Linked DNA regions of Arabidopsis thaliana. The protein of the gene in region 4 interacts with the protein of the main gene of each other region in a pairwise test. Each region holds a gene or a part of one and is shown on either strand. Other genes may lie near its edges.

The links.
Region 1: the proteins of AT5G50840 (region 4) and NACA2 interact in a two-hybrid assay, tested with the Arabidopsis thaliana proteins (one large-scale study listed by BioGRID).
Region 2: the proteins of AT5G50840 (region 4) and AT1G62520 interact in a two-hybrid assay, tested with the Arabidopsis thaliana proteins (one large-scale study listed by BioGRID).
Region 3: the proteins of AT5G50840 (region 4) and AT3G12390 interact in a two-hybrid assay, tested with the Arabidopsis thaliana proteins (one large-scale study listed by BioGRID).

What each region holds. Positions count from the first base shown.
Region 1 is NC_003074.8:18,338,270-18,343,996, reverse strand, and holds NACA2 (nascent polypeptide-associated complex subunit alpha-like protein 2), read right to left. Parts: upstream 3,022-5,727; 5' UTR 2,926-3,021; coding exon 2,827-2,925; intron 2,754-2,826; coding exon 2,669-2,753; intron 2,278-2,668; coding exon 2,159-2,277; intron 2,075-2,158; coding exon 1,754-2,074; coding exon of another isoform or gene 1,724-1,753; exon of another isoform or gene 1,508-1,723; intron 1,454-1,507; coding exon of another isoform or gene 1,428-1,453; coding exon 1,353-1,427; downstream 1-1,352. Other genes in the region: AT3G49480 (F-box/FBD/LRR protein), read left to right, coding at 1-180, 425-1,453; AT3G49460 (60S acidic ribosomal-like protein), read left to right, coding at 3,381-3,440, 3,556-3,603; AT3G49450 (F-box and associated interaction domains-containing protein), read left to right, coding at 5,490-5,727.
Region 2 is NC_003070.9:23,141,765-23,147,074, reverse strand, and holds AT1G62520 (sulfated surface-like glycoprotein), read right to left. Parts: upstream 2,691-5,310; 5' UTR 2,570-2,690; coding exon 1,727-2,569; 3' UTR 1,544-1,726; downstream 1-1,543. Other genes in the region: AT1G62530 (hypothetical protein (DUF863)), read left to right, coding at 1-743.
Region 3 is NC_003074.8:3,940,318-3,944,309, reverse strand, and holds AT3G12390 (Nascent polypeptide-associated complex (NAC), alpha subunit family protein), read right to left. Parts: upstream 2,054-3,992; 5' UTR 1,967-2,053; coding exon 1,910-1,966; intron 1,653-1,909; coding exon 1,568-1,652; intron 1,287-1,567; coding exon 1,156-1,286; intron 1,054-1,155; coding exon 715-1,053; 3' UTR 501-714; downstream 1-500. Other genes in the region: ELC (Ubiquitin-conjugating enzyme/RWD-like protein), read left to right, coding at 90-232; ARP5 (actin-related protein 5), read left to right, coding at 2,525-2,625, 2,762-2,832, 3,069-3,211, 3,393-3,437, 3,540-3,642, 3,771-3,880. UniProt on the Arabidopsis thaliana protein: May promote appropriate targeting of ribosome-nascent polypeptide complexes.
Region 4 is NC_003076.8:20,683,151-20,690,361, forward strand, and holds AT5G50840 (alpha-taxilin-like protein), read left to right. Parts: upstream 1-2,667; 5' UTR 2,668-2,752; coding exon 2,753-3,044; intron 3,045-3,133; coding exon 3,134-3,201; intron 3,202-3,295; coding exon 3,296-3,407; intron 3,408-3,502; coding exon 3,503-3,570; intron 3,571-3,668; coding exon 3,669-3,746; intron 3,747-4,268; coding exon 4,269-4,333; intron 4,334-4,573; coding exon 4,574-4,640; intron 4,641-4,748; coding exon 4,749-4,931; intron 4,932-5,108; coding exon 5,109-5,165; intron 5,166-5,265; coding exon 5,266-5,361; intron 5,362-5,457; coding exon 5,458-5,589; 3' UTR 5,590-5,772; downstream 5,773-7,211. Other genes in the region: AT5G50830 (nuclear polyadenylated RNA-binding protein), read left to right, coding at 302-917, 1,090-1,157, 1,235-1,399; MAB1 (Transketolase family protein), read left to right, coding at 6,521-6,562, 6,684-6,746.

The DNA.
Region 1 (5,727 bases), on a different chromosome or scaffold from region 4:
TGGAGGATGTTACCTAGACTTAATTACATAGAAACCACTAGTGACGTAAAAAGCAATACTGTTTGGTGGTTTCTTGAAGAGTCATTCCGTTTTCACAAGGCACCTTTGTTAGAACGTTTGTGGATCGACCTCGGTCCACAATGTCCTATTAATGTTAATCCTGTAAAGTGGGTTGCAAAAGTACTTGATACCAGGGGCGGATCTAGAATGTAATTTAATGTGGGGCACCATATATATAAATAGTACTAAGTATAATTTAATTACCTAAATTGTATTGTGATTATAAATTATTTTTACAAAAATAACAGTGCGGAGACTTGAACTCGGGTTAGTATGAGGCACTTTTTGCTGGAAAACCATTTGAGTTACCTGTATTACATTGTTTAGTAGTAGCTTATAAAATATTTATAGAATTTAGTATCAGGCACGTGCCCCACCTGCCTCCAACGTGGGTCCGCCACTGCTTGATACTCGTGTGCGTTGGCTAACTTTCAGGCTCCTTTGGAAAGGAGAGCCGATCAGAATGCCTAAGAGCTTTTACTTTTGCAAAACGCTTGAGAGATTGACTCTCTCCGACAAGATTCTTGTGGATGTTCCTTGTCAAGTCTCTCTCCCATCACTTAGAGAACTTGATCTCTTCTGTGTTGTGTACAAAGACGAAGATTCTCATGTTAAGCTTCTATCAAGTTGTCCCGTTCTCAAGCATCTAAAGGTGACTCGAAATAGACGTGTGGAAGATAATGTGAGAACGTTTAGGGTTGAAGTGCCTTCTTTATTGAGATTAGACTACAAAGCAGGTATGATGTTTCGAGAAGACAGTGATATGTCTGATCCGTTTTTGGTTACAGACACTCCGAATTTATTGTCTCTTCACATCTTTGATACTGTGGGATACTCTCTCTCAGTTTGGTACATGCCCCATCTTGTCACAGTAGTTACTGATGAGCTGTTCCCTAGTGAAAAATTTATGAGGCCTCTCTCTTCGGTCAAGTATCTTGCGCTATCTCCGTTCGATACAATGGTTCCGTGGTGTGACGCAGTTAATAACTACTCTCGACTTGTTGAATGTATGATACATCTATCTGAGTATGACTTGTTGGAATCACTTTTGGTTTTGCTCTCTAAGTGTTCTAAGCTTAAAGTTTTTCTGGTCGACTCCGACATTCCGAGATGGAATCATGACCCAGCTTTATGGAATCAACCGAGTTCTATTCCAAGATGTTTGTCGTCGCATCTCGAGATCTTTGAGTGGGACGGATATGTTGGAAGAGAAGATGAGAAAAAAATCATAAGGTACATTCTAGAAAACTCCAAATATTTAAAAACAGCGGGAATCTCACCGAATTCAACCTTCAGTGGTGAAGAGAAACAGAAGATGGAGGAGTTAGAATCAATGCATAGGACTCCAACGTCTGTGCTTCTGTCCTCTGCTCGAATGTCATTTAGATATTAGTATATCTGTCTATTTGTTAGTAGGTGATGTTTCTAATCCTAGAATTTGGAAGTTTCTCGAACTTTGTTTAGTCGAATTTTGATATGTATTTTCTCCAATACATTGTCGTGAAAAACAGAGTACAACTCAGATACTGCATAAGCATCATAACAAACAAACTAGATTAGATACTCGTAAGGACAACAATAATCCAATTTCCTGATAAATCCAAAAGTATTTGAAAACAATCTGCAAGTGAATAAAGCATAGAGACTCAATCTCTCTTAACTCTCAAGTAGTGAGTTCCATTATTGCACTTACAATGTCTCCATCGTGACTCTTGAGTGCTTTAACCGCTTTGCTACGAGAAACTCCAGCCTGAGTCATGACCAAGTCAATGTCACGAGCCTCCACACCGGTCTCATCGATTTCCTCTTCATCTTCTTCCACCTGTGCTTCTACAGTGGCTGTCGATGCCTCTGCTCTCTGAGATGTGGCTCCAATTTCAGGCATCCTAAACTGTTGAGCAGCTTGCGTTTGAAGCTGAGAGCTCAAATCCTCGATCTTGGCCTCACCGAATATAACATAGGTTTCTGAATGCGGGCTCTTAAAGACATCAGGCTTAGAGATAAAGAAGAGAACCTGATAACATTAATGTAGTGTATCATTAGAATCACACACGCAGAAAAAAATCTAAACTTATTGAGAAAACAGAGAAAGGTTTACGTTTTTCGTTCTCTTGATGGTTACTCGACTAACACCAGTGACAGGTTTCATACCGAGCTTCAACATCGCCTTCCTACTCTTCTTTTCACTTCTACTCTGCTTTGAACTTCCACTTACACCTACAACAACAAAACTTCATTCAATTTTAAGAACAATTCACTATGCTATAAACATATTGGGATCTCTATTCTCCGAAACTTAGTCAAGTAAATCCATAAATCTTGGCCTCAATCTATCAGCAAAATGATTCATCTCCCACATCTCTATATGTTAACAGAAACATCTAAATCAACCATTTCTACATAACTATGCAGTAATTCTTGAAATGTGACACTCTTTGCATACACGAAACTACAAATGTGAGAACGAACAAGGCCAATGATTAATATGATTAATATTCAATGACATTTCTAAAGAACACTATCTGGAAAATTAAGTAATGATTGATGACGAACAAAACTCTAAAAGCCGAGCTACACTGGTGAGAAAAGAGGGAGGAATCAAAAGCACCTTGAGCATCGTCGTCTTCCTCTTCTTCGTCATCATCATCATCGTCTTCATCATCTTTAACATCTTCTACAATCGGTTCATCAGTCTGCAAAAACAAATCCTCGAGCGTGAGACTAAGAAGTAAAAACCGTGACAAATCTACGTAAAATCGTCTTAACCTGAAGCTTTTTCTCCAGCTCTTCAGCAATGGCGGTAACCGGTGGTTGCTCAGGTTGTCCATCGGCAGATTCAGTGACTACAGCAGGAGGAGGAGACATGGCTTTCGGAGAGATTTTAGGGTTCCGATTCGATTTTGCGTCAGCCAAATGGATAAGGAACGGTGAGGTGGTGAGTGACGACTGTGTGTGTGGTAACGACTCGGGTTCTGCTTTGTCGTTGTCCAATTGGGCCTTTTATTGGGCTTCTGAGGCTTAATAAGAACAATTTTGGTTATCTATATAGGCCATGAAATTCCAGTCCTAAATTTTCTCTGGGCCGCACATGATATTCACGTGCCCATTTCGAAACATTAATAATCCTCTAGAAACCCTAATAACTCTATCGAAATAAATAGTGACCTCGTACGTTAACCCCTAATCTTCTGTTTGGTTACAGGTTCGATTCAGAGACTCTACACGTTTTGTTTTTATGTTTCACTTGAAGTTCAGATTATGAATCGATGAGCTCTATTGATGGTTTTGTAGATCTTTCGTGGGACGCGAGCTAGCCTACAATGGCCACCGGTGAGCTAGCTTGCACTTACGCAGCTCTCCTCCTCCATGACCATGTCACCGTATGTACTTTCTAGGCTCAATCTTGACATCAATCCTACTGGAGCCTTAATTAACTTGTAGGTTGTTTGTTTTAATTAACATGTACTCAAACTATTTTGTTTACTTGTAAACTAGGCTGAGAAAGATGTCAACATTGGTGAAAACAGCCAATTTGAACATTGAATCATACTGGCCTAGTCTTCCGCCAGAACAAAAACATGGATGATCTCATCATGAATGCTGGTGCCGGTGGATCTGCTGCTTCTCCCATGGCCGTTTTTTCTTCTGCACTTTCATCTGGAAGTGCCACTCAAGCTGCCCCAGTAGCTGAAGAGAAAAATAAGGTATCGTATTCTTCTCTCCTTGAACCCTTTTACTAATTAATATACTATACTCATAAATTCATAATTGTAATTACTGTTGATATTCAATATAAATATCTAATTTCTTGGTTTAATTTGTTCTTGTGATGAATCATCTTTAGGAGGACGTGAAGGGAGAGAGTGACGATGATTTTGTATCCGGATTGTTGACTAATAGATTTAACCTATCTTTTGAAGGCAATTGATGTTTAGTCGACTCAATTTTTTGAGATTTATTTTATTCTTAGGAAAGCCTAGTAATTTTACTTGGAACATGTCTTTTTTTGGCAAACACTTGGGACAGGTTTTATCATGAGTTTTGAGCTATAATCAATGCAACAATGTTGGGCTATAACACTTTTTCGGTTAATTTCGCTCGCTTACCTAAACAGTAAACCCTACATATGACTAAGTTTGGATTGTATTTAGATACCGAAACGCCTGTTTCCGAGGTTTACTGACAGATTTGTCCCTGAGAAATTAATAGGCTGTTTACTTGTAGGACATCATTCTTTAATTTGAAACTATTGCACTAATCGCTATTCTCAGTTAAGTTGATATATATCTGATATGCGGAGAATTATTTTGAGGAAGAATGTTTCCTAAAACACAAGAAAACCCTAGGTGATAGGCATTCATTCGTCAAAAATGTAGAGACCATAATGAAATTGTTAAGCACGTTATATCACGGACAAACGAGTATGCCCCCCCAGCAACGCCATCTGCCACTATACTTAGCTTCTCTCTCTCTACTGGCGTCAATAAACGCCAAATTTACTAGCCTTTTCAAATGCTGCACCAACTGAGGCTTCTTTCTATGGTTGATACTCCTTCATCTGTGGACACCCTATTTATTCCTACCCAACGAGGTTCATTGGCAAATGAAAATCTAGTTAATGTTTTTGAAAGCAATATTTTTGCTTCCTTAAACTCAGGATTTGGTGATACTTGTTTTGAGATGGGTGACTCCTCTCTAAAAGCCCAAGGAGGAAGGCCAATCAAGCCTACGCAAAAATATCAAGAGAATCAATGTACTACGATTTGGCCGTGGTGGTCGCGGTTCATCGACCTAATCCATTGCTTTTCTTTCTCTAATCTAAAACCTACTTTTACTGTATGTTATTCTCTTTCATCTACTTTCATAAAACTATATGATCCCCTCATAGTCATATCCTTTTCATATTTTTTATGCATATAATAAATTGAACTCAAAATTTATTCAATTTGATTAAATAGAAATTTGATATCTTTTCAAGATAATCACACTCAATATTTTAGTAAGTCATTTTAAAAATATACAAAAAGGCGTGAAAGCAACGGTATGATTGGGTAATTAGTATAGTGTATGTATGTATATATACATTAAAAAGTACTACCTAATTATAGATAAATAATTTGTATAATAACTTTGTAATCTCGATTGGTATCAATGAATTTAGAAGGAAAAGAAGAAAAATTATAGATAAAATTATCTATATATGTAATGGTATCTAATAAGGATGCTACAAAAAGGAAATTAAAGAAAAAAAGATAAGGTTAGAAAAAGGGAGAAAGATAAAAAAAAAAAATGTGGTAGGTAGACATAATCCGAAAGGTGGCAAAATCGTGTCTGTCTAGTGGATCTGTAAGGGTTTCATTTATAAGGTCGTCTTGTGTTTGTCTATCGGTACTCAGAACTCTAAGGGTTTCATTTCTTTTTCATGTGCAATGTCCGCCATGATGAAAAAACGGAAGAGGAAAGTCTCCAAGGAAAATGTTGCCCTAACCATATCTTCTTCAGTGGGTGAATATGGAGAGAACTCGGGTACGTTGCCAACTGATCTCATGGTCGAAATACTCTCCAGGGTGCCTGCGAAATCGGCCGCGAGGTTCCGTTGCGTGTCAAATGATTGGAATTCTCTTCTCCGCAGTCCATATCTCACCAACCTGTTCCTGAAGAGGTCCT
Region 2 (5,310 bases), on a different chromosome or scaffold from region 4:
GTGATCTTCAACTTCCTGAAAATCATGAAAGCGTCGAATACCGAGAATTCCACAGCATTGGTTCTTCCCAAGATAGCATAGATTTGAGGATTGAAGCATATGGCACAAATTTGTGTGGCAAGAAAAGTGAGAAAGTGAATATTTCAGATGGATCATGTTTGCTGGATCTTAATAAACCCCCGGCTTACGAGCCGGTTTCAATTGATCATCAATGCGGTTTAGATGGTGTACATGAAAAAGATTGTTCAGCATCTCCAGCTTCATGTTGCACCGCAGAAAACAATTCAAGGACTGAAGGAGAAGATTCGTGTGAAGTAATTCAAATGGCAGCTGAATGTTTAGTCCACATCTCAGCTGTTTCTCATAATCAAAGTCACGGTGTCCAAGAACCGGGTCGTTCTTGCGATTCATTTGAGCTACATACTTTAGAAATAAGAGAAACTGTCCCTGAAGAGCTCTGTTGTGTATCATCAAAGGCCATATATGACTTCAGTAAGAAGAAAGAGTTTGGAGTCAAGCTGAGAAGAGGGAGGAGAATGAAGAATTTCCAAAAGGAGATACTCCCGGAGCTTGTATCGCTCTCTAGACATGAGATTCGAGAAGATATTAACCTCTTAGAGACGGTTTTTAGATCGAGAGATTACAAGAAAATGCAGGGGAAGACTAAAGATGGAAAATGCAAACCAAACCTGAGAAACACCAAAGGTTTGACTCAAACGTATGTAGGTAAAAGAAGGAGATGATGAAATTCACGGTGCTTGAGGTCTTATAGACATTTGCTCTAGCTCCATTGGTTTAGCTTTAACATATAGCAGTTTTCAAAATCATTCACTATATTGAAAGTTAGAGGAGGAAGTTGGAACTTTGTTCGAGTCTATGATCTTCAAAGATTAGTTGGTTCTTTTAAATTCTTGAAAGATTCGCTAGGACTGATTCCGTAAATTATTTTATGGGCCTAATGGGCCCAACAGGCCTAATTGTTTTTTTTTTTACATCAACAGGCCTAAATTTTACGCTTCTGTTATTTCTTCAATTTTTCATCACTTGTGCATTCTAAATATTCTTCTCCCTGCGGATCCAATGTAACTTTCATGATTTCTCATTTTCAATTTTTACTCTTTTTCTCTTCTTCTTTTTTTGACTTTAAATCTTTTACAAATGCTCTTTAGTGGGAATCACTTTTCACTGATTATTCCTTCTTTTGAACTACTCTCATCTCTCAGTTAAAATTTTGAAATTATTTATTTTATATTAAAGAAACGTTACAAAATTTGAAATTTTCCAACTATAGCTTTTCGCTTTAAGGAAGTAGTCGTGTAAGTAACGTAAAAGATATTTTAGTGGATAAAATATTTTACTATAGATGGAAGAAAATTGAATGTAGAATCAAAACCCAACTGTAAAAATTAATAACAATTGACTGTGTAATAAAATCTATTAATGGCATTGTAAAAGCCAACGCACCAAAATATTCACTATTTACGACATCATTTAATAAGAAAATATTTTACTACTAGTTGGGAAAGAAAGAAAGAAAGAAAATCTACTAATTGCCATTTTTTCTTGTCGTCAACAAAATTAATTACCATTTATCAACACAATTTTCTACCAATTTTACATTGGAAATAAAAACAAATCCCTAAACATTAGGGGAAAATTGCGTTGATAAATGAAATTACAATGTCAAAAAGTTAGAAACTAAAATAACTTTTATTTTTTTGAATTTTTACAACCGATAGATTATGAGAAAACAAGGCAACACCGCACGTGTATCGAACACGAGCAACTCTCCGTCGTCACCACTCACTGAGTCAAACCGTGACCTCAAATCCGAGTCATACTTTAACTCGTTTTGCTTAGTGACCCGACCCGCTATGACCCGACAAACCAACATTGCCTTCCTCCCTTTCCCACCGCCAGCTTTCTCATTCGCCGTGCTACTTCCGGCAAACGTATATATCGACGCGCCACCGCCTTTTCCTCCCAAAATACCCCACGCGCTGCCACCTCCACCGTAACTTGGACCCAAACAGTAAAACCTCATTGTTTCATTCCCGTCGGCAACCGAACGCGCGTTCTCTTCACGCGCTTTCCCCACGCTCCTAGCTTTCACGGCTTCACGATACTCTTCGAACCGGGTCAAAGTCTTAGACCCGTTTTGCACTTTGAAAATCATTTCGACCCGACCCGAAAACGGTTTCGGACCCCAGCTCGTCTGAAAGATAATCTCCACCACATTACGTGACTGATGACCTTCCGATAGCTCCGTCAATGTCGGTAAAAACGGATCACGATCACGAACTCCGGTTGATCGGATCCGGGTTGATGGTGATAAAACCGGGTCGGTTTCTCGTTTATCCGGTTTTGGATTGGGTTTCTTCGGTTTAGGTTTGGGTTTTTTGGTTTCGATCACATCTTTTAGACTCTGTGTGCTTTTTCTGCAACTGTAGCTTGACATGAGATGTTTCGGACTCGGGCTCGGATTCGGGTTCGGGTTTTTAATCGGATTGTAAACATCATCGAAAGCTTTCGACTTGCATTGTAACGATTTGACCCACCCATTTGCCATAATCAAGATCCGGAACCAAAGCTCTCTGTTTTTTGTTTTTCTTTCAGTCTCTCTCTCTCTCTTTAAAAACTTGGAAAAGAAACAGAAGCAGAAGAAGAAAGCAACATGGCGCGATGATGATGATGAATATTAAAAGTGTACGTCGAAACTTGGGAGTGTAAATTACGGTATTACCCTTTAGTTTAATATAACATAGTAATTTTTTACAACATAAATTTATTTTTTTGATTTATGTAAGATGATTCTACGATATGACCCCATTCCTTCATATCACTTTTGTCTTATTGATTTTAAGTTTTTTCAAAAAAATTATAAGAATGGAAAATTTGTTTTTTGATTTTATGTAAGGTAATGCAGAAAAACAAGACGGAAATAAATGTAAGATAAAAATTGACAGCCGGATTTTATTGTTTTTATTTTGGTACAGTCTTGTGATTCTTGTCTTTTTTTTATCATAAATGGATCACAAAAGAACACGAATAACATTTTTTAAAAATACGTCAACTTCGTAACTCTATTTGTTTTTATCTCAACAATAGAATTTCACATGTAATGTCTATTCAAGTCAATTAAGATATCTGGATCTCTTAGTCGATGACAAAAATATTTCGAAATCAACGTAAATTTTACGCTATCTTACAAAAAATATTCAATACAAAATAATGATTTCATTTCAACCTTTTTCTTAGAATACGCATTTCTACTTAATTTGTATATCTTGTTTATCATACAAATTATAAGTTTTCTTCTTGTCATAATTAATTAAAGCTAGTGAGCTAAAACAAAACTATATGTATTTCTAATTTTCTACACCATAGAATTTTGTAAGAATCACGATTCATTGTCGTCTTTGAATCAATCAGTGGTCAATGGTAGCTTGTTTGTAACTTTAAAAGTAAAACACCAAAATAATAAAAGATTCGAAGATGAATTAGAGAAAAATTGCACACAAAAAAAAAAAAAAAAACTATTTCTAACTATCGAAATTGTATATATATAAGCTAGTTTACTGTAACTAATTACTAACTTTGTTACTAACCAAAATGAAAGTCTATTTCAATTTATTTTGTCCTCTCATGGAACCCAAAATTTGATGCAATCTGACTACTGACTAGCTGATGTGTTTTCACAAAACATTGTATCAGTGAGCAAGTGATAAAAGCTATCTAACTTCACAAATTGTGTCTGTCAATGCTGAATATATGTTTCTGCACTACAGCGAGATATAGTTGGCTGCTTTCTGGTTCAGGAGTTCACATAATTTAATTCATAAAATCAACTCAACTAACACTCTGAAATATACACAATATAAATATAATATAGAGAAAATTGTATACTACTCACTAGGATATGCGTATCTTAATCACTTGTCATGCTACTAATATAAAAATAATTGTTTGCTTTTAAAAATAGGAGGAATCTTTAGAATTTTGAGATTTACAAAAACAAAATGGAAGAATAGAAGAATAGAAAGAGAATGGAAGCTGCCAACGACGGACTATTAAAACAAATCGCACTGAAAATTTTGAAATTCTCACATAATGACACCCATTTTCTTATCTGTCGTCTTCCTCTTATTTTTTCTTAATTACACACTTAAATTAATAATTATAATAATCTATACCCTGATGATATTACAATTGCCTTGTCTAACATAAGTAAGCATTTGACTAATTAGTGATTAATGCGTATATATGACATTGTTGGTTCTGAATAGTGTTCAAATATTTTGTAAATCCGTTTGTGTCACTCAATATATAATCTATCATACCGTGAAAATTTCAATTTCAATGACAATTTAGAAAGTTTCTTAGTATGAACGATTATACACTTCAACAGTATGTATCATGTATGATGCGAGTTTAAATTCGAGTGACGGTGCATCGACGATACTAACACAAATTACTATACTACATGTTTGATCTTAGATATTATAAAGATTTAGGTTGCCACTAATTATATTTTAAAGTTTCTATTTGACGCAATTGCTTAGTTTATACAGATGATAAGTGTTTTGTTATACTATATGTCTATATATATGTAGAAGACATATTTTAAATATGATCTTCTACTTAAATATTGCTTTACTTTATGTGACAATAATTGTTATTATCTTTAGTTAAATTTTATACCAACCATATGATTCACAGCTCAGTATGAATATATATGCATTTATAAGAATTGATACACAAAGCTCCGGAATTTATCGAATATATATATAACCATGCCAGAGTTATACCAGCTTAATTTGGTTGTATTAGTATATAATAAATCGTAAAAATGAGATATTAAGTGTGTTTATGAGAAAATGTGTATGTAAAAAAAAAAACAGACATTAGAAGTTAGAACCCAAAAAAAATATCAGACATGTGCATTAAAAACCGTATATACACTATACTTGAAATCTTATGGTGAAAATATTTTTTTAGTAGTAAGAAACTTTTGGGAGAGTGGGTCGTGTAGTAACATGAGGAGGCCACAACGTTGATATATGTAAACACATAATTAAAGCAATTCTAGTAAACTATTACGAAAAACTAAACAAAAGAATAGAATAATACATACTCCCATCCCGCACGTAATCATAAATGGTTTGAATTCATGTCCATACTTGACTCAAAGTATTTAAATACTAAAGTCTAAACATCACTACGCATCCTTAACTTTTAGAAATCTATTCAAAATGACTCTCACTATCTATATTGGAAAAGTAGATCCATTTTATCAAAATTCCGATTAAT
Region 3 (3,992 bases), on a different chromosome or scaffold from region 4:
TGGTTTGAGAATGTTAGTATCTTTGTTTTGGATATTGGAACAGTTTTGATGACTCTTCTTTCTTCTCCATTAAAAAAATGTTGCTTTAGTTTATTCACCATGCAAAAGGAAACTAAAACCTTGTCGAATTGAACCCATTAGCTCCACCATCAATGATGAAACCTTGTCAAGTCTTCTTATCAGCAACTGCAACATCCTTACGCCTTGTTTTGCTTCATCAGTGTGCCTTTGAATCTTTCGTAGTCTTGGATAAAACCAGCTCCTTCCTTGCAACTCCCTAGCCTCCTTCCTTGAGGAGTTAGGTAATAAACATCGGCTTTATAACAATTTCTCTTAGAATCAGGTCCTGTTGAATACTTTTCTAGTCTATGAACCTCCACTTGTAGCACTTTGTACATTGTACTGCATGTATCGATTAACCTCAGTTGATACCTCGTATTGGTTGGAGTGAAGGGGTGTCCATATCCTTTGGGTTCGGTTCATTAAACAGACTGATACTTGACAAATTATAACTACAAGTCTATAATGGTAAACACTTGGACTTGATATTCAATATAAAATCAAACTGAAAATCAAAAACTTATGAGGTTTATACTGATACAACATCGAAAATCACTTCATGAAAAACATTGAAACCAAAAATTTCCGAATTCTTTGGACAATCTCTGGCACATAACTCAGGTTAAACCACATCTAAGTAGAAAAGACTTTGGTTTAGGTGGTAAGCTCCATGATGGCAGAGACAATATCTCCATCTGCAGCCTTGAGAGCCTTCACAGCATTTGGCCTAGACACTCCTGCTTGAGTCATCACCAACTCAATGTCCTTTGGCTCAACACCTTCCTCGTCAACCTCCTCATCATCCTGAACCACTGCAGCGCTCGATGACTCACCCTTTGAGATCACATTGCTGAGATCTGGTGCCTTGAATTGCTCTGCTGCTTGCGACTGGATCTGAGAGCTCAAATCCTCGATCTTCGCCTCTCCAAAGATCACATATGTGTCTGATGCTGGACTCTTGAACACATCAGGCTTTGATATGACAAACAAGATCTGTGTTCCAAAGCAAATGTCCCCAAAACAGATCAATATTAAAGCCTGATGTGTGAATAAAAGAAATTAAGATTGACTGAATATTAAAGAGAAAACACAAACATTCTTGCTCTTTTTGACGGTGACTCGGCTAACACCAGTGATGGGTTTCATGCCAAGCTTGAGCATGGCTTTGCGACTCTTCTTCTCACTTCTGCTTTGTTTTGACTTACCTCCTGCCTCTCCATCTAGTCCTGTTTTCCAATCACCAATCAACAAGAATAAAATAGATGATAACATTAAGTTCCACAAACATGTCTATCAACACAAGTCAACGCAAAGATTATTTGAAAACAAAGAAGATGGATTCATTTTCACTAAATTTTCAAGCTATGGCCATATAATTATCATTGCTACATATCTACACATACACGTGAGCATCAACAAATCTGCCCCAGATGTAAGCTAACAGAAATACTAGGAACTATACTAATTATTCCAGTAATTTGATGAATGAAATGTAGAAAGCTTTTACCATCAGCCTCGTCATCATCCTTATCATCGTCATCAGAGTCATCGTCTTCGTTATCATCATCGTCCTCAACTTCGGGCTTATCGAGCTACAACAAATCATCAATAATTGAACTAATTGGGAAAATGAGAGAATCCACAAAGGTTAATTACATGTAAATTCAGATCTAAAGTCTTATAATAAGGTCCAATATTTGCATATACAAAACAAAACAAAAGCAAAGATCTGGGCAGGAACAGATTAAAAAACTCTGAATTCAGTCTAATGATTTCCAGACTAAAAGACAAATAACAACAAATAAACAGAGATGATAGATAGGTAAAGAATAAAAGAGTAATCAATTACATCGATCTTCTGTTCTTCCAATTTGGCGGCGAGGATCTCTTTCTCTTCGGTAGTCATAATGAGAGTGTATATTGAAAGTGTGAAGTGTGTGAAAGAGAGAGAGATTCGTGATTCGTGCGGAAACTCTAAAACCCTAGAATAATTGTTAGGTTGGAGAAGACCGAGTGTTAATTATTGCAAGGAAAATCAAAAGGCCCAAAACTTTTATATAAAATCGCAATATTACACATTGTCCGTTGGGCTTATCAGCTGGAAAAAATTGGTCGGAATATTTCAGTTAAAGAAAAGCAGCAAAAAAGACAACCTATGTCGGAATACGAAAACGCCGTCTGTGGGGATCGAACCCACGGCCACGTGGTTAAAAGCCACGCGCTCTACCACTGAGCTAAGACGGCTTACGTTTATGTCAACGACATTAAACTATTTATTCAATTATCAAGTCTTTTTTAAGTCAGAGGGTTTTGGGCCTAATAATGTTTTTCCACGTCACGGAGCTCCATTTGTGTCTTCTTCTTTCTTTCACCGGAGAACTAGGTGGCCGAATTTACTTATTACAAAATCAGTCGATGACTGACGACGGCGACTAAATCAACACCGCAGTAGGAAGAGAAAGCCATGGCGTTCGTTTCGAGGATACGTAGGCAGAGTGATTACAATACATATCCATCTTCGATTCCCATTGTTATCGATAATGGCGCTTCCTACTTCCGTATCGGGTACTTTTATTCCATAAACCCTAATTTCCTTCTTATCGCTAACTCACTTTTACTTGAGGTTTTTGGTATTTAGTAATTCTCTTCCCCAATTCGTAAAAATCGTGTTAAATTTTGAAATTCTCTTGCGTTTTTTTAGGTGGGCAGGAGAAACTGAGCCTCGTGTTGTTTTCCGCAATATCGTGCAAAGACCACGCCACAAAGCTACAGGTCTTTATTTTTTTCTCTATTTTCCCGCTTCTATGTATGTGTCTTAATTGCTTGTTTCGCTGCTAGAGTAACAAATTTAGCCAATGATATGTTTCAAAGTACTAGAGCAGAGTTGCTTGAAGTTTTGGCTACGATTTCTAGATATATATAACTATGCTTTATCCTATTTTGCTTAAAAGTTGCTCTGCTTCTAAATTATCTTCTAGGTGTGTTTGTAATGTTGTTGTAATGGTTAGTTCTTCTCTCTAGTACAGGTGAAACTGTTACTATTGTTGGCGACCTGGATCCTTCCATGATGAAGTACTTTGATTGCACTCGCTCTGGACCACGTTCCCCTTTTGACAGCAATGTGGTTTATCAGTTTGAGATCATGGAATATGTATGGATTCTATACCCGTTTATTCAATAACGAATTGTATTGTATATTTGTAAGGTCTTCTGTTCCAGGAATTTCTTGCTCTCATCATTTCTTTGTATTCCAAGTTCTTTGATGTTTATGCTAATTAAATAATGCAATCACTGAAGAACCCACTTGTCTAATTGATTTTTCTGCTTTTTAGATTCTTGACTACGCCTTTGATCGTTTGGGTGCTAATGGATCAGGGGTACGTCCTAGAACTTTTTTGTTTTCATCTTGATTTTGAGTTTCATCTTACTACCTGTCAGAATTTTGTCTCGTCATTTAACGTCATTTGATGGCAGTACAGATTGATCATCCAATCCTAATCACTGAATGTGCATGCAACCCAGTTCAATCTCGTAGCAAAATGGCAGAACTGCTATTTGAGACTTATGGAGTGCCTGCAGTTGGTATGAATCTGCGTTATTTTTTTGGTTTCTGAATTTGATCGTCTTCTTGAACTGAATGTTTGATACTGTAATTATGGAACCTTTTGTTTATTGTTTTCATTAATTCATTAACTCTCATGTCGTCACAGCATTTGGAGTCGATGCTGCTTTCAGCTACAAATACAATCAACTACATGGAATTTGTAAAAAAGATGGAATTGTTCTCTGTCCTGGATTCACGACAACACACTCCATTCCGGTATGTATCTATGACTACTATGAATGCAAGCTGGTGTCAACCCTGTTTACTTTCTTTCTTCAAACAATTCCTTTCCTGATATCACTTAGTCATTAGTCTGATAGTTCTTATA
Region 4 (7,211 bases):
TTAAACCAACTCATGTATTTGCCTAAATAAATCACTATTTACCAAATTTAGCAAACAAATCGTAACTAACCAATCAACATCACACAATCTCAACCCTTTAATAATCTCACATTCTCTCGCTTCTTCTTCTCGGATTCCTAAATATTATCATTCATTCATCATCCTCCCAACTCATTGGCTCTCTTCTCTCCTCTCCTTTGCCTATTTTCTAAAATCTTCTCCGGCCACCCACCGGCCACCTTATGATCTTTTTGGTGGCGGCGATTACACCATCAATTTGTTAGTTTATTTATATATTAATATGGGTTGCGGTGGCTCGAGGCTTGGAGGTGTGGCGACGACAAGGGCGGAAGAAGGCGGGGTTGTGCCACTTCCAGCGGGAATACGTCCCCTTCTCCGGCGAAGGTTAGAGGAGATGAAGAAACGGAGCCATGCAGGCGTCTTGAAAGGGAGCCAGACGTTGTCTAAGAAAGAGCTTCTTAGGCATAACTCTTCCGAGGACGGAGAAGATACGGAGGAGAACGACGGTAGCTTGAAGGCGTCCGCTAAGGTTGCTCCGGCGCCTGATCATAATGTAGAAGAGAAGAAAGAGGTTATTTATGAAAAGATTCCATCCAAAGATGATGTTAAAGAGGTGAAGGAAGAAGTAGTTGTGAACAAACAAGAAGAGGACAATCATCATCAAGATGTTGTGGAGAAACAAGAGGAGGAAAATAAAGAGGTTGTGAAGAAGCAAGAGGAGGAAAATCATGATGATGATGTGGTCGTCATCAATGTTAAGAAGGAAGGAGATGATGGTAAGAATCATGATGTTGATGAAGGGAGTATCAACAACTTTGATGAGAGAATGATTGGTCCTGGATCTCCAAGCTTTAGGGTTTATTGCGTCGATGTTCCTTCTGATGATGATGATGAAGGTAAATCATATGTTCTTATACAAACACACATATATACATGTATAAATCATTTACTATTTGTATTTGTATATGGATGCATGCATTGTTAGAGACATATATATGTTTATATATGAAATGCTTGTTATATTATGTAGTTTCGTTATTGAAACAATTTATCCATTCACTATTGCAGAAAAAGATGTAGAAGACGCGAGAAAGTCGATGGAAACCGAAAGCGTCACGACAGAGATAAAAGAGGTGGTCAATCACATTAATTCACATTATTGATTATTTGATCTATGAGGATCTCTAACAATGATATATTTGTATTTCTATAGGACGGAAGCATTGTCAAAAAGGAGAAAAAAGAAAGAAGAGGAAAGAGGTTCGGAATCGCATTGCCGAGGAAGTATTTAGCAAATGTGACTGCGCCGTGCTATGCAGGTGGAGGATGCATGGGAAACACTCATTCTCGTTTGGTGCAAGAGAAATCGAGCCAGTGATCGATCAAAATATGTTTGCCATCTTTGCATTGACTGATTTGTTGAAGTAAGAATGGTGTGGTGTACGTACGGGATCACGATGAATAATCAAAACCACCTTACGATTTTAGACCTTTGATTTGTTTTAAGAGACGCTTGTTTCAGAATTTGTACAACCTCTTCTTCTTCACCTTTGCTTTCTTTGATCAGGATAATTAAGTTAGTGTTTGACGAATTTACTTTTTTCCACGTGGAAAGATGTAATTAATTGAACTTGTGCAATAAAAAAAGTGTTGTCTAAATGTCAAATTTATTGTTACATTAACCAATGAAAATAAAATTAGAGTAACATATAGGAAACTGCAATTATAGAAGAAAAAACACACTAAAAGGTGTAAGTAATTGAACTTTGTGAATTCCGTTTGTTTTCGGAATGCACAAGTGTTAGTCATAATAGGAAAGATAAAAATCTTAATTACAAATCCTAAAATACAATTTTTAATTTATTTTTTAGAGTTTATATTAATATGTCGTCAAAAACGGTATATTATTCAGAACAAAATTATCGTTGACCATTAGTTAATTAATAACCAAGTTCAAATTTGATAATTTGAAAGTTTATTTAGACAAAATTAATTAGTTGAAAGTTTTATCAATGATGGCCTCTTAAATTTTTAACTTTTTTTTGTTGAGTTTTATAAAAAAGAAAAAATGGTTTTCAAACTAAATTTGTTTATGATCATGTTTATCCGAGTTAAGCCCAATTTGAGATCTTTGTCAGTAATGACTAAGAGTACCTCCCGCATATAGAATTCATGTAGTTTCTAAAACATATATATATTTTTTTAACTTTTAAATATATATATTTTTTTAATTGTATGAGTTTCTACTAAAAAATTACTATTGAAGTTGGTCTAAGTTGCGAGACCAAATTTTTATATGCTTTCGGTTCGAATTGACATTTCTCTGTGTAAACGAAGCATCAATAAGAATTTATCAAACTTGAATGTAACACCATTTCTTTAGTTGATCATTTCCAAACATTTATTAATCAAATAAAATTGAATTTCAAAGTCACGTGATAATGATGATACTCAAATTTAAAAAACCAATAACACTTTATTTCAACATTTCTATGAAGAAATCAATTATTAACACTTAAAGTTATTAATTGAATAACAACGAACAACATTTAATTTAGTCAAAATTAGATTTTTTTTTTCTTTTTTTTGGTTTTATTGTTAAGATTTTATACCAAATAAAATTTTACAAACGAATCTAAAAGAAAGAACAAATTTAAACTTACCTATCAGAATTGTTGTAAGATATTTGGGTTTTCTTCGTATTAGGTTTCATCAGATCCAGACTCAAAAAATGGAGTCACCGCACTCGAATTTGCTCCCTGAAGTCGATTCTTTACCCGATGGATTCGTCGACGGCGCAACAGAGCCGCCTCTCAATTCTCCCAAGACCCAGGAAGAAACAACAAACCATGAAACTGTTGCGATCGAGAAAACAGAGAAGCCAAGAACTTTTCCGGTTCCGTTGTGTGAAACTGATGGTAATGAAGATGACGAAGTAGCTGACCTAATTCAAGAATCAATCAAGCTTGAGTTAGAGTTCGAGCAGAAAGAAAAAGAAGCTTCTCCTCCTATTTCTCAAACATGTGAGTGAAAATGTGAAGCTTAATTTCTTTATAGGAATTTGCTTCTTTTGTAACCTAAAGTTTGTTTCTTTGCTTTTTGTTTGAGTTAGTGTCAGAAGGGTCAACTCAAAATTCAACCTTGTCTAAGGAAATGGATTCACTCAAACCCAAAAAACAAGTCAGTATTTTGATGAGTTCTTCAATCTTGTTGCTTTGAGAAGAATATATGTTGAAGATGATGTATCTGATTTGTGTGCTGATGATATTGAAAGCAGGAGGTGGTTGAGAGCAAGCGTAAGGGTTCAAAGAATATGTTCAAATCAGAGAAAGAGTTTTTGGAATTTATGCTCAAGTATCAGCAAGTCCTTTCTGAAAGAGATTCTGGTAATAGGATATCAATAAAACCAAACTAGTTTTGTGTTACCTTCATCGTTTAATGCTTTATAGTCTGTACTCATCATTATTGTTTTTAACCGTAGCTATTACTGTTCGTGACAAGCTTGAATCACTTTGTAGAGAGTTACAACGTCAGAACAAAATGTTAATGGTTTGTTCTTTCTTTCTTCTTGCTTACTCTACTTGGTGTGTCTTGTTTTGAGGAACTAACCTTTTGGTGTGTAAACTAAATGTTCCTTTGTATAACAGGAAGAATGCAAGAGGGTTTCAACTGAGGGACAGACTTTAAGATCGGATTTATCGACAAAGTTCCAGGATGCTATAATGGTAAGTTGAACACATTTTTCTTTCGATGTGAATTCTTCCCAGGGTTTTGATCTTTGCTGAATATAGAAATTTGAGCCATTTTGCCGTCGGTATTGGCAGTTTTAGAGAGGAACAAGTATTGGATAATAGCTTTGTTTTGTGTTTCTAAGTATGCAAATCTTAAATGCACATCATTTATTGATCCTTGTTATATTTTCTTAGGATATTATCTCCTTTAATCTTCCGTGCTATATGCTTTGGACAGTCATGGCAATATCTTTTTCTTCTTTCTGAAACTCTCTACACTGACATTGGCAAATGTTAGTACCGATCTACACTAAAATTTAGTCCTTGGAAATAATTGGAACTAAACAAAGTAGAAAATTGTCCATATTGGTTTCAAGTTACAGATTGATAGAACTAAGTTTGATGAATTGCTTGCAGGCTTTTGCAACATCAAAAACTTACAAAAACAAAATCAGAATTTATTTGATTGATTTTTTTCTTATGCTCTCTACCTTCCTAATCCTCTTTTGTTTATAGGATGTGAGCATTAAGTTGGACGAGCAAAAGAATGAAAGCCTCACGCAACTCAAAGAAAATGAGATGTAAGCGGAAAGAACTCAATCATAACATGTTCATTTGGAGTAGGAAAATTATAGTATGTTTATTATATATGTATAGTTTTGTTGCAGTTTAAGTTAATACAGTATGAATATGCTCGCCCACATTCTGGAAACTATATTCTTACATGTGTATTGCTTTTAAAACGGCTTTGCTTGTATCAGCTCAGTAACATATTATAAAGGTCCATTCTAATTACAATGGGTTTGTTTCTTAATCTCCAGGTTAAGGACGAAGTTGAAGCACCTGGCTGATCAATTTATGCTTTCAGAACAACAACATGAGCAAAGGGTAATTAAATTATTCGTTTTTTCCAACTATATATGAAGCATGATTTAGCCAAAATAATTGGCTTAACTGCGATGTCTACTTGACAACATCTCATTTTCGAATGGACAGTTGAAGCAGAAAACACTTGAGCTACAGATCTCTGCTTTAAAAATTAAACAGCACGAGGAGAAACTCATCCATGAACAATCTCAGATGAAAGTTTACGCAGATCAAGTTTCTCAGCTTTTGTCTACTGAGAAAAATTTGCGGTTGCAGCTGACTTCTGATGGAGATAAATTCCAGCAGTTCCAGGTCTGCTCTCTTCCCCTTTTACACTTCCTAAATAAGTCTTAATCGTTTTCTCGATGCACTGTGATCACAGATAATAAGATTGCTTGCTTTGGGTGTGATACAATACTCTCTTAAGATATGTTTTTTACTGATATTATATGAAAAGACTGTAAAGTGAAAGGCTGTTTGGTTATGCAGGACGCGTTGGTTAAGAGCAATGAGGTGTTTGAAACATTCAAACAAGAAATCGATAAGGTAATAACAGTTTTATACCTTCGAGGTTCTTTGAAAGATCATAAGTGCTATTTATGTGATCTTATTAACTTGATCCTGTCTCTATTGGTTTTTTGAGTAGATGTCAAAAGCAATCAAAGAACTCAGAAAAGAAAACGCATTCTTGAAAAACAAAACTGAGAAGTCGGATATCACTCTCATAGAACTCGTCGAAGAGGTAAAACAAAACCGTCTGTTCTCTCACTATCTTTAAGGGTTTGTAGATTTTGGTTATGAAACCAGTAAAATCACACTTTTGGTTGACCTTGAACAGCGTGAAAGATTGAAGAAACTGTTGGAGAAGACAAAGAAACAGAAAGACAAGCTTGAATCACTTTGCAGATCCCTTCAAGCTGAAAGAAAACAGAAAGAAACTAACAGTACTGATTCTGCTGTTCAACCATGAAACAGAGAGAGACTATGAATTCAGTGTTTTGCTCTCTTTTTTTCTTTGTCAGAGTTTTGAACTAATTAGCACTTCAGATTACAAAACTACAATTAGACTCCAAATTCACTTTAAAATGTAGAAACATATCACATCATATTGATTCTGCTCTTTTGCGAGCTAAGTCCATTTTATCTCACAAAATGCAAATTGATAATAGTTAATTCAGCTGCAGCTTCTGCAAATCTCCAGGTTCACAAGAGAATGATTCTGCATTCACTAAGTTCACAACCGATTTGGAGAAGAATAGCTACTTCAACATCTGCCATAATGACCAGCTGATTCTTTGCAATCTTAAACCAAACCGAACCGAACCATTTGAACCGAAGAAAAGTTAAACCGATATGGATTATGATTCGGTTTGCATCTTTATGGATTCGGTTAGTTAAAAAAAGCGAATCTCTCTGAATTAAAATAAGTATAACGTCAAATTAAATTTGGTCACATCCACTTTCCTTTACAAACTTCAACAACATCAAATGGAATAATATAATATTGGAAAAGAAAAAGTATATAACGAAATGTCAACCATCGATCATGACCAGCAGATATTAATCGGACGGCTCCTGTACAATTCGATGAAGAAGACCTACTCTCTCATTTATTCAGCTAATTGAAATCATTTCGTTGTGTTTTAGAACAACAACAAAAAAACAGTGCCCTTTCGCTCACGCTTTGAGTCGTATCTGCTCTCTTCTTAATCCGCCGTCTCTCACTTTTTCGCCGGCGTGGTTAGATCGTACAAAGCTCAGGTAATCAAATCTATCTCCGATGTTGATCTACTCTGTTTCTCCGGATTTATGATTTCTCTATTCAATTTCCGATGATTGTTAGATCTACGGGGCTTTTGATCCTGCGATTACTGTTGCTTTTTGTTTGTTAATCAGAGAGAATGTTGGGAATCTTGAGGCAAAGAGCCATCGATGGAGCTTCGGTATGAGACTTTTTTACTCCTTTTATTTGTTTCAGTGCGATTACGATTTTGAGATTTTTACTTGGGAGATTTTTAGGTTCGGATTTTGTTTTCTGATTTTCGAAATTTGGTTTTTGATCAGACTCTTAGGAGGACGCGATTCGCATTGGTTTCTGCTAGGAGCTATGCAGCTGGTGCAAAAGAGGTAAAATGTCTTTTATTGAATTTTCGGATGGTTTAGAAGCGTTATTATACAGGTTTGGTTTTAATGAGCTATTGGAAGATAATTGTGGTCAATTTAGGATGATTAGAGCTGTTAATGTCTGCCAAACCACTTTTCTACTCTAAACTTTTTCTTTGGATGATAGCTTAATGTTGTCTTCTGCAAACTATGTCGATTACTTTTTTTTTTGTGTTCACCGAAATGTCGAGTTTAGCTATATTGGATGTTTTTTGATTTTGTAAACTGTGAGCATCCAAGAAGCGCAAGGGTCGATAATCATTGCATAGATGTTTAAGCCTATTAGCTTTCTCTCATTAGTTCTGACATTGAAAATGGTGGATTGATAGCTGACTCACATAAATAGTGTAGTGACATTTAGAATCCCAACAAGTGTAGCTTAAGTTAGATTTTAATTTACGTTTCGAGAACCCAATTTTTTTTTCATAT